Schizosaccharomyces pombe: one gene and its partner. The protein of the gene in region 2 interacts with the protein of the main gene of each other region in a pairwise test. Each region holds a gene or a part of one and is shown on either strand. Other genes may lie near its edges. The genes, in order: dpb2 and mcm5.

Evidence for each region.
Region 1: the proteins of mcm5 (region 2) and dpb2 interact in a two-hybrid assay, tested with the Schizosaccharomyces pombe proteins (one study listed by BioGRID).

Annotation. Positions count from the first base shown.
Region 1 is NC_003423.3:3,656,151-3,661,106, forward strand, and holds dpb2 (DNA polymerase epsilon catalytic subunit B Dpb2), read right to left. Parts: upstream 2,781-4,956; 5' UTR 2,603-2,780; coding exon 1,085-2,602; intron 1,043-1,084; coding exon 932-1,042; intron 892-931; coding exon 736-891; 3' UTR 598-735; downstream 1-597. Other genes in the region: protein vac7, read left to right, coding at 1-225; mpe1 (RBBP6 family ubiquitin-protein ligase E3), read right to left, coding at 4,023-4,956. UniProt on the Schizosaccharomyces pombe protein: As accessory component of the DNA polymerase epsilon (DNA polymerase II) participates in chromosomal DNA replication.
Region 2 is NC_003424.3:2,813,777-2,821,376, reverse strand, and holds mcm5 (MCM complex subunit Mcm5), read right to left. Parts: upstream 5,717-7,600; 5' UTR 5,436-5,716; coding exon 3,754-5,435; intron 3,713-3,753; coding exon 3,340-3,712; exon of another isoform or gene 3,300-3,339; coding exon 3,192-3,299; 3' UTR 3,122-3,191; downstream 1-3,121. Other genes in the region: plasma membrane potassium ion transmembrane transporter Trk1, read left to right, coding at 596-3,121; cox6 (cytochrome c oxidase subunit VI), read right to left, coding at 6,176-6,449, 6,861-7,009.

The DNA of each region.
Region 1 (4,956 bases), on a different chromosome or scaffold from region 2:
ATCAATCCTACAACCTCAAAGTCACCGTTACTTAACAAAAAATTATCCTCCACTTCTCAGGAGCCCTTTCGAACAAGTAGAAGGTCTGGTCAGGAAAGTGGTGATGTTACTACGAAAATGCTTAGAAACTTGCTCCATAAAAGATTATGGATTTCATTTTTCTTTGCTTGTTTTGTTGTGCTATCTCTGGTATATTTTCATTATGCAGTCCAACCGTTGTTATAAGAAGTGAGATACAACTTATACGGCTCTTTGATTATGAAGTCAGGCCTTGTAAAGCGTTTGCTAACCTTTTGTTATTATGCCCTTTTGAATTATGTTAATGCCTTATCGTTTATGTGCTCCTTTTGGAAAAATTAACTGTTGTTCTGTATTTTGATGCTGTGTACTCGGTCAACTCTTTTAAAGGCTAATAGCACCTATTGATTGCCTCCATGGAAGTTGTTGTACGCAGCAGTGATATTGAATTTTACAAATGTTGTTTTCTAGTAGGGAGTTTTCTATATTTTTTTAATTATTCCTACTAACCCTTAATCTTAATTTTATAGTTTAATTTGATTAATGTTTACTAATTTACGAGAAATCTTACTTGGATTTATCTTTTAATTAACATAAACGTTCTATTATTCGGGGCTCAGTAAAATGTAACAAACTTAAAAATCGTTAACATGTTAATGAATGAAATGCCTTTTTTAAGCAATTATTATACAGTTACATGAGGAAAAGATTTGAGTCCTAAATTCTCTCCTTGTGTGTAATTATTTCTTTTTTTACTGGAAATACTTCTTGCCAATTATAGTGAACGCCAAGTAAAAGAGCACCGGGATTAAAAGTTGGGCAACCTCCATAATGAACATCAAACGCCGACGACTCAGAATCTATTAGACCCATCTAAAAATATTAGCAAAGAAAAAAAAGATTTATAACGTACACAGCTAGGAAGCGGGAAAACTGATAAAGCATAATCAAAATCCCACAATATTGGTCGTGTTCTCGATGGAAACGGTGAAAGGTGAGACTGATCTAAAACTGTTTTAACCAACTAAACAAATTAGCATAAAAAAATTATAAGAAACTTGCTTACTTTTCTTTGCTGATGCACTTGTTGTTCTGCAAGGGGTATAGAATTAATATTGGAGGTACCTTGGGGAGTCTTCCCAAACTTTAATGAATTCCTTTGAAATCTTCCTGATATATCGTCTCTATAAATTAGTACTTCCTGAGAAAAGAAAATGATGCGGCAAGGGTTTGAAGCGAAAATGGTATGCTTACAAACGCGTTGGATCCGATTTACGAAATGAAGGGGTATTGAATGCTTAGGCATTAAGGATATCCCATTTGTCGTCCAAGGGTCGTTTGGACCGGGGACAAATATGAATTTTGTCTTTTCGCAAATTTTTGGAAACTTCTCAAGAGAAGCTGCAAGCTTATTAAATCCTTCTTTATATTGAATTGAGCTTCCTGAATTATGGAAAGCGGAAGACATAAAACTTCCACATAATATTATACAAAACGGCACAGCTTCAGAGGATTCATATTTTTGGAATATTTTTTCTAATGCATAGAAAGTTTGATGGTTGTCAAGATGAACCTCGCTGATACAAACAAAAGCTTGTGACTGATATGCCTGTTCCGCGTGACGGAGAAGAGCAAGTTGCTTTGCATCCATATTCAACCCCAAAATATCTAAATTATTAAGGGCCTTCAAGGAAGCATCACGGCGTTCAATGGGAGGATGACCAAGCTCAAAAACTAAAAATAGCCCAGAACTTAGAAATTGACCATTAACAAGTACCAAGCAGCCAGGGCAAAAGAGACCGAACCCTTGTTCTGCCTGTGATACGTCTAGTTGAACTTGACTGTCAAGATCTTCCAGCCATAAGGTACCATCGGGAGCTATAGTCAAGAGTCCGAACAACAAAAATGTGTTTCCAGCTCGACCTAATAAATTGCGAATAGGAGTTAATTGATATGTACCTGTTTGAGAGAAAGAGCCACTGAAAGAAGGTGTTTGAAAAGATTCATTGCGTAAAATACGGCTATATACAACATTGAATCTGCGGTTAAGCATATCTGTGCAGGCACTTGCAGATGCCATTAAAGTAGGAGACTGTTTTGATAAAACGAAAACCTTTCTTGATGAATCGTACTTAAATTTAGGCATTTTAAAAGCATCAAGGACTCTAAAGTATTTCTCATTTTTTATAGTTTCACGGATTTCCGAATTACTCGAATTTAAAAATGAACCGGTTGTCTCAAGCGTTTGAACTCTTGCTAAGGAAGATACGCGAACTTCATGCGGAACATTTAAATTTGCCAAGACAGGGATCAAAAGAGGTCGAGTAACTATAGGTTGAGTTTCATGAACTCGTTTCCAAGTTTTTGCAATTTCGTCTAGTAAGGGCTCACATTGGGAACGCCATTGTGAGCCGCATTTTTTAGATACGAAAGATGCTAATTCCTGCAGTGAGTCACGATTAATATTGAGATCGTACTTCCTGGTAAATACGTGGAAAGCAACCGGACGAAGGGCATTGGGTTGAACTTCAAAACTAACCTGTTCAGGTTTTTTTTCTACCGAATCCGTAATGGAATTGTTCATTCTATTTTAAGAAATATATTAATGCAAACCCTTCGCTTTTTGATTTTATAGAATCGTTTAGTGCCCACTCACTGTATCAAGGACAGATCAATGTATATGGTTTTCTAATCAACATAGGATGTAATCAATAATTTTTTGGATTCAAGTGAAAAAGTTTCAAAGGACTACTGTAGATGATAGCTATGGTGTACCCTTTATTCACTGTTTGTCTAATATCAAAATGCTAAATGCTAACTTCTCAATCTGGTTCATTAAAATATTTTAACGCACTACTATAAAATCATAAACTGTGTCAGCTACGCAGTTTAATATCCATATTAACGATACGCTGAATTGCGGTGAGGTTTTCTTGCGATCTATTAAATTGCGATATAAAGGTAATATAAGTAGCAACTAAGTATAGATATTATACTATCCAACTTATAGCGTTACTATCACTAACATAGCTTATAACTGAACTGACGAACGAAGTTTATCAGTAACTCTATTAATAGTATTTAAATGATATAGGTCTTAATAGACTATCATTAAAATCAATTTCAATATCGTATCATACGTGGTACGATGAATAATTAGGACACATGATATATAGTGATTCTCTACGTACTGTATCATAGCGTACTATAGTATGTCTAACAAAATGTTGAGTATAATTAATTCCTTTACGAAAGCTGAAATTATGTGTTAATAAATAAAGTAAAACTTAGGTAAACTAAGCTGTTTTATATAATAGGAACATTTCGAGAAGCCTATAAATAGATTATCTGAATACGTGTTGTTAGCATTGAAAATACATTTAAATTTCGCTTAGCTAAATATTTTGATTTTATAATATTCTCTGATAAAACATTTGATCGGCGAATTGTAATGTCAATTGATTTAGAAAATTAGCTTATTTTTATAAATATTCTTTTGTAAAATTAAGGAGTACTGAATCCTTGATCCTTCTACTCGGAAACTTTAGTCTAAGAATTGTTTGTTCTCTATTATTATTACTACAAGCTTTTTGAAAAATTTATTGCAATATTGCAAATAAATAAAAAAAAATACATTACTACTGATTTATATAATATGACTTTCTGAGTATTTTTAATTTCTTAGATTACAATTTTTGTTAAGGCACCTGATCAGCGTCAGCAGTAATTTGCTGAGCATCAAATCCGTTAGCAATCCATTTTTTGATGTAAATATGATACTAAATACTTTTAAATCCACTTCGAAGTAATTCAAAAGTCAATAGATATGAATTTACTCTCATATTAAAAAAACGCTCCATAAATTAGATTGTATTAATTGAATGTATTAGTATAAAAATTTTTGAATGAATATGTGTAACTGTCCCTATTATAGCTGAAAAAAGGACTTTCAACAACGTAAACAGTAAACGCAAGTTTACAAGAAAATCAGAAATAAGTAATAACTAATTTGTTTTAGTAGGGGGATTCTTATGTAGCGAGGATGGTGGGGGAACAGACGCATTTGAAGGACGAGAGTTTGTACGAGGTGGATTTCGATTATTATGATATACTTGGCCAGCAATTGCATTCATCATCATAGGCGGCATTTGAGGTAAGCCTGGCATCATAAAAGGGGGAAAAGGAGCCGGAAACCCTTGGACATGAGGCATTGATGGCATATCTGGGATGGCCATAGCTGACTTAAAAGCTGGTTCAGCGGTGGCTTTGGAAAACACAGCAGAAGATCTTGCCGCAAATTTGTTAGGTCCATTTGCATCGTCATCTTCACGCTTGCGCTTTTCAGACATTGGTGTATTGTTATCGTCAGAAGTACCAACCTTATCACTGTTTTTGCTATTAGAACCGAGTACAGATTTGACGACTGCCTCAATTTCCCTCTGTTTTTGGTAATCGGGGTTTAAAGTATCCAACAAAACATCTTTTCGATGGCAATTTGGACATTCAAAATCCGAATCTAAAAGAGCCGTTTGAATACACTCTTCACAAAAAAGTTTATCACAACAAGGTGTTCTGCAAGCATTTCTTGCTAATTTCTTACATAATGTACATGCCAAAGAAATGTTCGGAGGCTGCATTTTATACACGTCATTCGCAGTTAAAGCTGCTTTACGAGATTGATATGTTTCCCAAGACGCTACGTCTGGTTGTACTACAACATAATCTCCTTCAGCATTTATCATAATATTAGCAGCGTCGCCTTCAGCAGGCCTTTCAACGTTTTTCAAAAAAGATCGAGGTATTCCGGTAGTTCGTTTTACCCTTGGTTTTCCATCGTAATTAGGATCAGCGTTGGTAGGGCATGCTTGAATCCAGTGTCCTTTCTGACCGCATCTATAACAAATATATCCAGGGGGAGGTGGTTTGTCCGGAACAGAA
Region 2 (7,600 bases):
GGTTTTCAAATGTTTACGGAAGATAAACTGTTCAAAGCTAGAAATTTTGCTAGTTCGTAAAATTCATAGATAGTGCATTTTGTTAGGCTACATCAATTCATATTATGCGTTGTTATGCGAACTTTTGGACTTTCCTTAATTTAAATACGGTACCTGTAAAAAGTACTTGAACACTCTAAATCTTGTTAACATTTTTTACGGAACAACAACGATTTATGTTAAAGATCGTCAACAATCTCACTTCACTGCCCAAAGCGTACAACATGGTCGAAGTATAGGCTGAAACTTTGAACCGCTTAGAAACTACCTTCTACGGGAAAGAAGACGCGATTTTACGTTGTATTATAAGAGAGGAATCCTCAAGTATTGTTGAAAGGAATCGTCAAAGATTGGGTAAAAATGTCGTTTGTCATTTGTCATAATTCCCTTTTAGAAATTTAGTGGTTTCCTCATCAGTATCGCTTTTACCCGTAGATTTCAAAACTAATTGCTTCTTATCTTGTCCATAGTTAAGGATTTCCGTTAACTTCAAACCAATTTCTCTGTTTCTTGTTCTGTTGTTGGTGGGTTTGGCTGGAAGTATTGACTAAAATAAATGGTCCTAAATTACATTCAAAGATGGTTCAAGTGGGTGATACCAACTTTTGGATTCTTGGCAATTCATTATATTTACATTATATCCTTAACTATCATTGCCTCTATCCTACTTTTTACCGGAGGGACCACCACGAAAATCAAGTATATCGATGCTTTATTCTTAGCTAGCAGCGCAACTACCCAAACAGGCCTTAACAGTGTTGACTTAAATTCTTTATCTATCTGGCAGCAGTTTATCCTGTATGGATTTACTGCTATTACGGTTCCTATATGGATGCACGGAAGTATTTCCTTCATCCGGCTGTATTGGTTTCGACGAAAATTTAAAGACGTTGTTCGTCAAAATCGTACTCGAAAATTTCAGAGAAAGCTCCGTAAAAGCTTAATGAAAAAAAGCGAGGATGACGAAGAACAGGGTGTTCGTGGTAGAAAAATTCGTGTAATGTTACCATACCTACATTCACTAAGGAGTCCAACGTCTCTAAAAAACTTCTCGAGATTTGACACGCATGACAGTACGAACAATCCGTACTTTCCTGACAACCCCCCTTCTCCCAAGGCAGATATATCTAAAGACGAGTATTTTGGAAAGTATCTCCCAAAAAAGTCTGATACGCTAGACATGGATTTGGAAAGTCACAACATGACTTTTCATGACTATGAACCTTCCATTGAAAATAAAAATTACGATTTTGGTAGTTCGCATTCAGCCTCGATGCAAATGTATGAAATGGATGACCTTCATCCCCGACTTCGTAGACAAAGCTCTTTTATTTCCTCCGTTAATCCTTTAGAGGCTGACGACACCCGTGAAACTTTATCTGAAGGCGCCTTAGTTCAGGAATCTCTCCCTATGGCTTATAGTTATTCTGATACTAATTTGGTTGTATCGAGGGATTCATTTACTCTCACTGGGGACGACAATCTTTTCCCAGAAGGTGGTTTAAGGCCTGCCAATACAATAGACGGAATAGTAAGGTCGTCTCTGTCTTCTTCCTCCCTATCTAAAGACACTGAACCATCGACAGTTGACATGCATATTGCTTTCACCGGACTTAATAAGCCCACCATAGAGCGTGAACGTAATCTTAAACTTAGAAAAAAAAGTCGTTTTTATAAAAAATCTTTACGTTCCAGATTTTCGCGAGGACTTCATCGTCCAATACGTTGGACAAAGTCATTCACTTCTAACCGACGAAACTTGACTCTTGAACGAGTCCTTTCTTCTGCCTTTGCTAAAAAACGTGAGCCTTCTATTTCATCAAGACACACTACTATGTCACTTCCCTATTTGTCGTATAATCCTACTGTCGATCGTAATTCTGCTTTCGTTGCTTTGTCTAAAGAACAGCGGGACGAGCTGGGTGGAATTGAATATAGAGCTTTGAAATGCGTCTGCTCCATGGTTACCCTTTATTTTATCATTTTTAATATTGCTGCCTTTGTGACCTTCATTGTTTTTGCTTATACGGCAGTGGGATCGCGAGAGGTAATAGATTCTTATGACTTACGTCGTGGGTGGTGGGCGTTATTCTCGTCTGCTTCTTCATTTAATGATTTGGGGTTTTCTTTAATACCATCGTCTTTTGTGCCAATGAATCGAAACATTTTTCTTTTGTTGATTTCATCTTTATTCATTATCGCAGGTAACACGGGATTCCCTTGTTTTTTTAGAACATTCATTTGGACAACGTATAAGCTATACCCTTTTAGTTTTGAGAAGAAAGAAGCTATGGCATTTCTCCTTGATCATCCTCGACGATGTTTCACTTTATTGTTTCCATCTGGAGCAACCTGGGTCTTGTTTTTTGTTTTGCTGCTGCTTAATGTCATTGATCTGGTATTGTTCATGGTCTTAGATACTGGAAGTAAAGCAGTCGCTAGCCTTCCTAAAGGTATTAGGGTTGTAAATGCAATATTTCAATCAGTTTGTACAAGAACCGCAGGATTCACGAGTGTATCAATTAGTGAACTTCACCCAGCAGTACTGGTCAGTTACATGGTTATGATGTATATTTCTGTTTATCCAGTTGCTATCAACATGAGAAATACCAATGTTTATGAGGAGCGATCTTTGGGTGTTTACAGAACTGAAGATGATGAGGGGAAATCTTTCTTAAAAGATCACCTTACTGAACAATTAAGTTACGATTTATGGTATATTTTTCTAGGGCTATTCATCATATGCATTTGTGAAGGAGGTAAAATCTCCAATCCTCTAGATACCGATTTCAGTATTTTTACTGTCCTTTTTGAAGTAGTCTCTGCTTACGGTACGGTGGGACTTAGTACTGGATTAAGCTCCTCAAATTGTTCACTTTCAGCAAGATTTACTACTATAAGTAAACTAGTTATTATAGCACTTGAACTGCGCGGTAGACATAGAGGTTTACCCAGGGCTGTTGATCGAGCCATCCTTCTTCCTTCTGAAAAAAATAATCTGAAAGAAGAAGAAGATTATCAACGTCGTCACGGATTTTCCATAGACAACGCACGTGGCAGTATTGCAGTTTCTCGAGACTGATATTTCTTATCACGATCATGTATTATATTTGTAAATTATATCATCTAATAAATAGTACGCTCGCTAAATTTCATACTCCTGATCGATACACCGTTTGTCCGCCATTTCTGAGTTGAATTGTTTCCTTCGACGAAAGAATTTGTAAAGCCATTTCTAACGCGTGTTGTGAATATCCATGCTAAAATTATGTTAGACTTAGATTTAATCAATAAACATACCCCATTTACGTATTCTCGTATAAGCATACGGTAACTCGCCTGAAACCCTATAGGTAACCTTTTTCTTAAGCTGGCTTCAATTTTTTTTACTTCCTCAGTAACTTCAGGCGAACTTTGTGTAGCAGCAGCAAGTGTACTGGTCAAAAACAGTCGAATCGCTTCAGTAGCGTGAGCTTCAGAAGCAATAGGTGATAATGACATTTTTGCAAGGGATTCAGTAATTCGTATGATTGCCTCTAATTGACGAACAGTGATTGGAATGGTAGAACGCGAGTTACTGTCCTGCTCTGACTGATGAACACGTTTTCGAATTGCGACAAATTGACTAGATAGCTTTTCAGCTGCCTCTGCATCAAGATTAGGTGCACATTTGCTAAATCCATTAGTAACTAATATTAAATTTGGTATACTTACTGTCTACAATAGTTTATGTACCGCCGAAACTTATCAAAAGGAATTTCTCCAATTGCTAAAGTCTCACTAGATTCTTGTAAATTGGTATGAAGATTAATAACGTGACGGGCAATATTTCGATCCTTTGTTTCATCATGTTCATCCTTAACAATAAATATCATGTCGAATCTTGAAAGAATCGTAGATTGAAAATCAATGTTTTCACCTGGTGTCTTCATATCATCGTATCGGCCAAAAATTGGATTAGCAGCAGCTAAAACGGATGTCCTAGAATTCAATATAGTAGTGATACCGGCTTTAGCTATTGAAATAGTTTGTTGCTCCATTGCTTCGTGAATAGCAACACGATCTTCATCCCTCATTTTATCAAATTCATCAATACAGACAATGCCACCATCAGCAAGAACCATTGCGCCACCTTCAAGGTAAAATTCTCTGGTAACTGAGTCTCTTTGAATAGAAGCAGTCAAACCAGCAGCACTTGAACCTTTACCGGAAGTATAAACAGCGATGGGGGCCAGTCGCTCAACGAATTTCAAAAATTGAGATTTCGCAGTACCAGGATCACCAAGAAGTAAAACATTAATGTCACCACGAAGGCGCATACCATCGGGGAGAATTTTTTTAGAACCTGAAAAAAGTAGGCATGCAATAGCTTTCTTGATGTCTACATTACCATAAATAGCGGGAGATATGCTGTTGGATATAATATCGTACAAATTCGGAGTACGAGAAATTTCAAGGAACTCCTCTTCTTCCTCTTCACTAAATAAAGGAGTAGATTTAGAGCCATCATTTGAATCCATTTGAATACCCACGACTCTGATATAAGGGTTCCGAATGGCCACGGCACCACTAGCTTTAACAGACTTATTTTGAAAAATAGAAAAAATGCCAGTAATAACGCAGCGGGTTCCCGGAGTAATTTGGTTAGTTAAATAGCGATCAGCATTCAATAATATATGACGAGGCAACTCACCGACAGGAACCATATCAGGAGCTTCCTGTAGTTTAAGCACCTGCTGATCGATAAAAGTCGATTTTGAATGATCAATAATGAAAGGATCCATCGGGCAGTCTTTTTTTTCACCATCGAGAACAGGAGCTTCACAAACTCTAGGAAGCTGAACACCTGAAAATCCACCAGAAATCTGTAAAATCCTGGTAGCCCTACAATTTCTGCATACTAAGTGCAAAGCAGTTGCACGGCAGGAAAGTGTTGAAGCACCGATGATGATACCAGGCACTCTAACCAGTTTTGAGATATGAGAAGCTGTCAGGTTACGGATTGGAAGGATGTTAGCATCGTAACGTAGAGTTACCTGGCAAGTGGGGATATTCGTAGAAGCATTTTCTTGACTTCTATAAAGTAGGCGTTTAGCAACTGTAGTGACAGCAGACTCAAACAGAGGTAGAATATCTGTCGGCTGACTCAGAAGCAAATGAGCTAGATCTTCGTTATAACTGATCAGGTGCCTAAGATCTATGTTCAACATGTATTGTTTTACCACGAGATTGTCTCTTAGTTGAGTACGATAGATAAAGTCATTGTCAATCACAAATTCTTCAATAAACTGTATGAAATTCTTCTCATGACTAACATTGGAATCTAATTCTTGCTCTCCTGGGAGAACTGGGGTATAATATACAGCACTCCGTTCCCAACCTGTTGCTGCAGCCATTATTGTGATGAAAAAGACTAAGGGGAATGAGTTAAAAAAAAATAAAAAAGCGAGATAAAAAAGATGATATGGTATAAAATAAAGGATGAAGCAAATTTCGCTGCTCTTCGAAAAAATAAAACAAAAATTAGAAAAGCTCTTCAAAACCTTTACAGAATGAGTTGCAAAAATGATATAAATATGTTCTTAAATTACATGTAACTGCAATAAATATTTTACGCGTGAAGAAACGAATGTAATGCTGTAAAATATATTATTGAACAACCTCTGTGGTGTTTGGTGAAAGGACTAATACATATTGCCCTTGCTGAAACGAACTTCAACTACACCCTTAAATCTTTTGTTAAAAGGAGATAGTCTGCTTACAATTTTTTTTTTAACATTTTAAGTAAACATGTATTAACTGCAAGCTATTTTCTACGTGAACAAAATGAAGATGTATATCGTTACAGATTCACTGCTATACTAGACTTAAAAAAGAAAAAGAGATAAGATTACTATAGCAATTCTGTTTGTATGAGAAATGGTATTGGCATTTTTATTTGATAATTTCTTAATCCTAAAGAAACATCATTGCGTGCGGACAGAAAAAAAGTGATGATAATCAAAATCAGTAAATCAGTTTTTTTAAAGTCCTTTGAAAAACGCAAATCATAGTTAAGCACCAAGAAAAGGAGAGTTGTGGTAAAGAGCTACAAATTTCAAAAGAAGAGGAGACAGATCAAGAAACTTAATCGGACTTACTTAAAAAGATCCTCCTTCAATACAATACCTAATTCATTGCAAACAGGCTTAAGCTCCTTAACATACGCTTGGTACTGTTCTTTGGTTGGTAGTTTCACTTTAATACCTTCGAAAATCCTTACGGCGGTAGGGAAATCGTTAACACGACGAGCAGCACGTAAAGCTTGTTCAATAACATCAGAAGAAGGCACGATATCGTAGGCAAAACAATTATTTAGGCCTCTTTGGAGCTCAAATTGATCCTGAACATTTGAAAAGAAATCGTTATACCTACGTAGTTAGTAAACAGTAAAACAAGAAATTTTAAATAAAGGAAAAGCAGAGCAGAGCAGAAGTAAGAATAAGCTTCCAAAGAAGGAAAAATGGTCAATTTTTCTTGTGTAAAAACTAAAAACGTGAAAACTGAGAAAAGAACAAAAAATAGCAGACAAATAAATAGCTATGAACGCTCATTTACTATCATTCTAGAGATGCTAAAATGAAAATATTCAAACCACTTTCAGTATTGGGTACTCAAAAGTCAATGATAAAACAGACTGCTTTCGTGTTCATTTTATTCTTTGCAGTTCCCAGCATTCCTATTTCCGCATTTGATAATAAAAGTGCTGAATGGAGTTACTTTTCAGGCATTGCAACATGCCGAACAATTACCTATTCCCTTATCGTCGTTTTTTTACATACTTTGTGTTTATTTCTTCCAAGGAAACCCCGTGGTTACTAGAAAAACGAACTTGTCTGTTTGCAGCTAAAAACCCAGCTTGAAAACGAACCGAGGGTCCTGCGGCGACAGAAAAGCGGCCAGTTTGAAAAATACGTTGAACTGCTTTCATTATAATGAATTAGAATTGCTTCTTGCTAAATAAAAGTGAAGGGGAGTGGAGAGTAGATGGAAGTAGTAGTACGCTAAGGTTTGTAATATATCAAGAAGCAAACAGTTTTCTAGTATAGACTATGTATTCAAGAAAAAAGCTATTCAGTTATATTAGAAGTAGGATGAAGAAAACCTAATGACTGTAATTTTATATAAATATGTTTTGCACTTGGTTGTGAGTAATCTGTACAGATCGATTATTGAGAGCCGTGTTTAAATGAAGATTTACGGCTCACAGACTAAGGGCATTCCATGTTATTGTAGCTTCTAAAGGTCTACTGCTATGAAATGATTTTCTTAGTTTTAAAGTATTTACTTGTTATGTAGAGTATTAGTTCGACATGGAATTTTCAAGCAAGCTCAATTAAACTGGAGTGTTTATACAAGACAGCTGTTTCATTAATTAGAGAAATATGACTTTTACTATGCTGTAGAATGAAAATTCTCATCTGTTTTATATTTAGCGGAAGACATTTTGCTGATAGATATTCATTTAAATAGTTATGTCAGAGATACAAATTCAAGTGAATTGAAACTCATGTTGGAGTTT